Linked DNA regions of Saccharomyces cerevisiae S288C. Changing the gene in region 1 together with any one later gene gives a genetic interaction. Each region holds a gene or a part of one and is shown on either strand. Other genes may lie near its edges.

Evidence for each region. Genes that interact genetically often act in the same process or in processes that back each other up.
Region 2: mutations in BEM4 (region 1) and SWF1 together harm fitness more than expected from each alone (negative genetic interaction), as found in Saccharomyces cerevisiae (3 studies listed by BioGRID, with this or other methods).

What each region holds. Positions count from the first base shown.
Region 1 is NC_001148.4:243,784-247,929, forward strand, and holds BEM4 (Bem4p), read right to left. Parts: upstream 2,438-4,146; coding exon 536-2,437; downstream 1-535. Other genes in the region: YPL162C (uncharacterized protein), read right to left, coding at 1-244; leucine--tRNA ligase CDC60, read left to right, coding at 3,207-4,146. UniProt on the Saccharomyces cerevisiae protein: Probably acts as a GEF (guanine nucleotide exchange factor) for the Rho family of small GTP-binding proteins (G proteins) that stimulates the dissociation of GDP to enable subsequent binding of GTP.
Region 2 is NC_001136.10:701,607-704,809, reverse strand, and holds SWF1 (palmitoyltransferase SWF1), read right to left. Parts: upstream 1,577-3,203; coding exon 566-1,576; downstream 1-565. Other genes in the region: ARO1 (pentafunctional protein ARO1p), read right to left, coding at 1-326; ECM18 (alpha/beta hydrolase family protein), read left to right, coding at 2,052-3,203. UniProt on the Saccharomyces cerevisiae protein: Palmitoyltransferase that targets several endosomal SNAREs. Palmitoylates the SNAREs SNC1, SNC2, SYN8 and TLG1, at cysteine residues close to the cytoplasmic end of their transmembrane domain.

The sequences.
Region 1 (4,146 bases):
TTGCGAAGAGTGACCTTCGTCTTTTCTTCAGTATGCTGATGCCTAGATTCAAAAAATGGATTCCAAGAGAGCCGATGATTTGTTTTCCAATGTCATAACTCCACACAATCATTTTTCTCCTTGGATGCTCATAGTTTCTTTTCACCAATAACACAATCACGGCTGTCATACCCATCAATGTCTGGACAAAAAGAGACACGGGCCCCAACAACTGGCAAGTGTCTTTCCCATTAGAAACATACATATTCTTTTCGATTAATTGGCAGTTCTGCTGAACTTGTGTGACTGTTGGGCCTCCTGCTAATATGTATTAGAACTTTTTCTGCTTAGTACATTCAAGTACTTTTGTGCAGATGTTCGCATCTGCAATAAACTTTTAATCTCCCTTCCACTCTCATCGTCTACAAACCCATACACCATTTGTCAAGCACATGCTTAATCCAACAATATTCAAGATTTAATATTTATATATATATATATATATATACATGCAGAGGGAACGTTTTCTCCCCTCGTAGGTAAGGCGATTACGTGTCTAAAAGAACGATTTTGCAAGCGCTTCTAAATTTTGTTCCTCTGGCGTTAAGCATTTCGTATTTTTCACAATGTTTAGTATTATGCCCGCTATAAATTTCCCATTGTTGAAACAACTCTCGCTACCCTTATCTTTATTTTCTTTAAATGAAAGTATGGTCTCTAATATCAGGGTTAACTTTTGAATGTAATCCTTGAATAGTATATTTTCAATCGGATTCACGTCAGCTGTTACACTTGAATCTTTTAAATAAATTCCAACCGTTTTTGTGATATGAAATAAATCTGAGATGCTTAGTTGTTCTGCTTGACCTAAATTTTGGAATTTGAAGATCGAATCCCATAGGGATGTAATAGCTTCTTTAGGAAGGGCTTTCTTGGACACAAGCAGCTTATCCATCGCAATACAGGACGTTAACGTTCCATGCTCTGCTATAAAAGAGATAATTGTTGGATCACTGCTTATTGAATTGTGTATTTTTGAACTTGGAAGCACCGTTAAAGTTTTGTTTAATAAATTTGTTAATAACGATCTCAGGTTGTTATAATATTTAGTTTGCTCGTGACATCTTCTCATAATCTGAAATAGGGTGAAGAGGTCCTTGATATCTAGCCACATGGTATTTTCCAGATTTAACAGCTTCCTCAGTAAATCTAGGAATCCTTGATATTGTAGTGGGTCTTGTAGCAAGCTACCAACTTGAATCAATTCACTAAGAGATATGAGCTTCAGTAGCGCGACAGCGTCACTTTTGGATGCAACTGAGTTACATAATATCATCAAAGCTGCGGCTAGGGCATAACTACTTGCGGAACTCTTAATAGTTTCGATACATAATGATTGCTCTCGTTTGTTAGAGTTTGTTAGGTTGGCGGAGATGTTGCCTGCGCACGATATGAGTCTTCTCATTACAATTAGCTTATTATTGAAGGTTTTTGATTCTAAGCAAACTAAGGACAATATTAAATTTTTTTGCATGCTTAGCACAAGCTGCTCCTCATTGGTAAAGTTTATAGTTTCATCCTTGGCTACAATAGTTTCAAGACATGTTGACAGATTTAATAGCAATTCACAATTAACGTCCTCCTCATCATCTTCTTCCTCTTTTTCGATGTACTCTTGATTTCCTTGGCCAGCGAACTTCTGAGTTTCAGTATTTGAATATGCTTCGACTGCTCCATCTTCCATTGCCTGCAATTCTTTATTTTGCACATTTGAAGAGATTTTTTTGATGTACTGGCTTAAGAAAAAGAGATCGCTTATTTGAACATTTGAGTAATTGACTTTTAAAATATCGTTCAATAAATCTGAACCTAAAACAACTTTTTCGGGAGATGACAAATAGCTATATTGTGTGGTTTTCAACAAAACAAATAATGGACCTCTAATGAAGGGAGCCAAATTTTCTGTATACTTGAGATTTCCAATGCAAAAATTCCTTAGTAGCACAACTGACCGCATCTGTAATTTATCCACTAAGCTATCCTCACTCTTGTCAGAAGAAATTTCGTCCAGCTGAAGAACCCCGCCTATATAATAATTAAGAAGCTTTTTACCTCCAGAATCCAAGAGAATTTCCCGATTATCATCATTATCAATTATTGCGTTAGCGATACATCTAATCACTTCAGAACTGATCTCATAAAACGCTATTTTATCATTAATTGAAATGCTCGTATCATGAAAGCAGATATCAAGCGCTTGTTCTAATACTCTTACTAGGTTCAGTAGCAGCCCAGTTTTACCAACAATATCTCTATTACTTGGTTCTCTCAACGAAACAGCCAATTGGTCCATTACCGCTAGGTAGCTTCCTAAGTAGACATCGTTCATCGGAACATCCTTTATTGAAGACGCATTGAGGATCGGTTGCAGACCAAATAAAATTTCTTCGTAATCCATTTAGTAGGACAGTTATTTTCACTTGAAACCACAATCTTTTGGGGCTGAAATATAGATGAGGTGATTTGTTATTCGCGGTTAGTTTTAGTTCGCGAGTGACCTGCTTACGTTGTCTTCAGCCATTTTACGTTGCTTGGCTTGCCGCCGGCGGGTAATATGATCTTATTTTGACATGGTTAAAGAAAAATACTTTTGACTAAGTACCTTTATCACAAGAAAGTTTAGGAAGGGATTCACTATTTGAAGATCAGACAAATGAGTATACGATATTGGCTCAATATTTTAGCCGAGTTTGCTTAAACTTAGTGGCAGAACTTTAGTCATGGGAAGACAAGAACGATCTTACGAGGCCCTTAGGACCTCGGCGGCTAACAGTAAAACTGGTAACTGACGGACAAGGAATATCAAGGTCATATTTTGAAAAGGTCTTTTTGGGTGACTACTTGGGTAAGAAATAATTAGACGAAGTTTCTTTCTGATGTGTATTGAACTAGTGCTCGTGCTTACATACACATCGCCCATTATTGCCTATAGTTATCCTCACTTTATACGAGGTCTGGCCGTTAACGGTTCTTTTACATTGAAAAACTAAATCAGTCACCCACGCAAATAATGAAAAAAAAAAAAAAATCAAAAGCGAAAAGAAACCTAACGCATATTCTATTCAAACGTTGAATGATTGTATTATTATAAATCATAATCACGTAAAGCCACCGAAATTTTTTTCCAGAGTGAAGAATATAAAAAAAATATCTTTAACCAGTCTATAATGTCTTCTGGTTTGGTCTTAGAAAACACGGCACGTAGAGATGCGTTAATCGCCATCGAAAAGAAGTACCAAAAAATATGGGCTGAAGAGCACCAATTTGAAATCGATGCGCCATCAATCGAAGATGAGCCCATTACAATGGACTCTGAAGAGTTACATCGCACGTATCCTAAATTCATGTCGTCTATGGCCTATCCTTATATGAACGGTGTTATGCACGCCGGCCATTGTTTTACTCTCTCCAAAGTCGAATTTTCTATTGGTTTTGAAAGGATGAACGGTAAAAGAGCTTTGTTTCCATTGGGTTTTCACTGTACAGGTATGCCAATCTTAGCATGTGCCGATAAACTAAAGAGGGAAGCCGAACTTTTTGGCAAGAACTTCGACAATGTACCAGCAGAAGAAGAAGAAATTAAAGAAGAAACGCCGGCTGAGAAAGACCACGAGGATGTTACCAAATTCAAAGCTAAAAAATCTAAAGCCGCAGCCAAGAAGGGCCGTGGTAAGTACCAATTCGAAATCATGTTACAGCTTGGTATCCCTAGAGAAGAAATCATTAAGTTCGCCGACGCCAAGTACTGGTTGACCTATTTCCCACCTTTGTGTGAAAGTGATTGTACTTCACTTGGGGCTCGTATCGATTGGAGACGTTCTTTTGTCACCACTGATGCCAATCCTTATTACGATGCCTTTATTAGATGGCAAATGAACAAGTTAAAGGCTGCTGGTAAAATCAAATTCGGTGAACGTTATACTATTTACTCTGAAAAAGATGGTCAAGCTTGTATGGATCACGATAGACAATCCGGTGAAGGTGTTACACCACAAGAATATATTGGTGTGAAAATTGAAGCTTTAGAGTTCGCCGATGATGCCGCAAAAATCATTGATTCAAGCTCAGATCTTGACAAATCCAAAAAATTCTACTTTGTCGCTGCCA
Region 2 (3,203 bases), on another chromosome or scaffold:
CCACCGATCGCTACCATAACCGTATCACGAGTACATCCTTCCACTAAAAGATAATCTTCTAGCTGCGCTTTGGTTTCTCTACTTTTACTTGTCTCACCTGGTTTAACAACATAAGTAAGTAAACGAGAGCCTTCTGGCAAAGAAGCCTTGAATTCCAGGACTAATTGCTGGTAGTATGGAACTTTACTCAAGTTCGTATCATTGCAAATAACGTATGTCGAAGAAGGACAATGTTTAATTATGGTTTCAACCAAATGGTCATGAATGTTATACCCAACGTGGATAATATCATTTCCTAGAATTGGGACTTTGGCTAACTGCACCATCGTAATATACAATTATCTTACGTAGGGATTTCTCAACTAGGAGATTATATAAACTTGAACGACCGAGTATAGCTGTGATCTGTTACTAATGGTTACGAGTCGGCGTCCTACCTTCTATATTAATAAACCGCTTGTATAATGAATTTGTTCGACATTTGCGGTTAGAATCTATGGCGGTGAGAAAAAACCGAGTGAAAAAAAATTTCATGTTCGGGATGAGTCATATGCATGACAATTTACTATATTAAATCTGTGAGATTGGCCAGGAAGGTACCTTTGTCATATATATTGGGAATTTCGGACGCGTCTTTAATCGTGATGTAGTGTGTAAGGTTGTAGTGCTTATGGTCGTAGGCATTCGTGCTATAAAACGTAACATGTTGATCTTGGAGTGGTTCAGCAGCGTCATCTTTTTGTTCTGTGCATTTGAAAAACCAAGATGGGCAATCATCATCCAATGATCTCACCAGTTTTCCTTCTCTCATATACTCTTGAATGGTATACCATTTATCTTGCTCATTTGTAGTCATTCCCTCCTTTACAATGGCCAATTGAAGATACGTGAAAATAGCGCAGATGATAGTGAAGCATCCACATAATATGGTAAGAGTCAGAACAGCTCTAGGGAGCGTACTTGTGCTATTTAAAGAAATGTACCACAGCCTTAGAAAGGCGTAGCACATCGAGAATATGTTGGAAATTAGGAAAAGGTAGAATTGAAGGTAGTTTCCCTTTCCGATGCAGTTATTTATCCAGATGCAATGATGGTCGGCGACGAGAACGCATCGGTTGCAAATGCTACAATGTTTGGATCTAGCAGGCTTGACGATCCGGCATGTCGAACACTTTATGGCAGGATAATACAATAGGTAATCATATGGATATTCCTCTGTCGAGCCTGATTTATGATCCTTTGAATCCTCAGCTCTGCTTACCATGGCTAGAATTCCTAATGCTACCGGCGGTAGTATAATTATAGGCACGATCAGTATTCGTTCTAAAAGGAATAGCTCATTCTTAATCGTAGACTCCACTCTCATGTGGTATGTATATACTAGGTACAGGTAAATAGAGGTGTAGAAAAGAGGTACTAAATGCAACTTCCAACGATATTTTTGGTCATCCACTAGGAAGGGCTGAAACACATTACGATAGAAAGTCGAAAATGGCCATGTTGACTTGAAGACGGGCGAAAGTAATATCAAAACTACGAATCCTATTAGCAGCACAAATAGTAGATTCCATGACATTGTTTGTTCTTTTCATGTTAGGAGACAAAGATATCTTCTTTGGAGGCATAATGAAGTTTTTTTTAGGAAGGCGGAAGTATATATACAATGACACTACCTTTGTTGATAGCTACGAATTTCCTAAAGAGAAAGTATATTGTAGTATTTATATGAGTTGCATAGTACGTTATTCAAGGATAAAATGCCGAATAAATGCTTTAGATGATTTAAAATTCTGTATCGGATGGTTTTAATTAAAAAGTTTCGTTGGAGGTTTTCACCTCATTTTTGAAAAATAAAAATTCAGACCAAAACATTAATTATTTTGGCTTTGAATATACTGACCTCCTGGAAAGCCCTTGGACATTACTAAAATTGAGACAACTGTTTCGATTCCAGCTTAGAACTCCACAGAGCTTCACATGTTTTACACCTCTATTTATATATTCTGACAGTTTCCTTATGCCTTTCCAGTTTAAGGATGAGCGAATGAAAAATGCTTTTAATAAAGAGGTACTTGATGGACCCTGAAAGTTTAAGGAGGCAGATAATGAATGTATATAAATGTTACATGTGGAAGAGAGCGTTCCACAGTAATAGAAGCCTACTGGAAGTTAAACGTCGTGAAAAGAGTCTCCAGAGAAAAATTTTGGAAAGGATTCTTAGACCCAAGGAGGAAAATGCTGTCAAAAAATCTGGATTCAAGCTATGGTCAAGCCATTTGAATAACCCACACAAAACTTATATGCGGCTGGAGGAATTACAGAGACGTATTATGGAAGAGGTACACGTTGAAGGTATTAAAAAGAATGATAAGTTATTCAACGAAATAAATCAATGGCATTTCCAAAATGAAAACACAAGTACTGTTCGAACACCAACATTGCTGATACATGGCTATGCCGCATCTTCAATGTCTTTTTTCAGAAATTATCCAGGTCTGTCCAAGCACATCCGAAATTTATACTCAATTGACATGCCAGCGAGCGGATTGTCTTCAGTACCGTCTTTAGAGATCAATACAACAACACCTCTGCCGTTAGATATCAAATTTATTGGAGAAAATAAATTTAAGGTTCCATATACAATAAATGCAAATCACAATAAATTTGTGATTCAAATGTACGAAGATTTCTATCTCGACAGAATCGAGCAATGGCGCATTGATAACAAATTGGGCAAAATGAATGTTGTGGGGCATTCTTTTGGCGGATATTTATCTTTTAAATATGCTGTTAAATATCCAAACTCGGTAAACAAACTTTGCTTGGTATCCCCACTAGGAGTGGAAAGGAATATCTGGTCTGTAAATAATAATTTCCACTCCAACACTCTTTATACTATCGATTTTAAAAATCCAAATTCCAAGTTTTACTCCAAAAGAAATATGATTCCAAAATACTTATTTGAACAACAATTTCACATTTTGAGAATGATGGGACCATTAGGAGCTAAGTTATGTTGGAATTACATAATGGCGGCATATAGCCGAGTCCCATCGTTGGCATACAAAGAGTACATATTTGAACTGTTTTACGGTAAGGGAGGTATACCGGAGGTTACGACAGATATTTTCAAAGCGTTATTTTCAAGATGTATCCTAGCAAAGGACCCCTTGATGGATTCTCTGCAATATTTAAATGTTAAG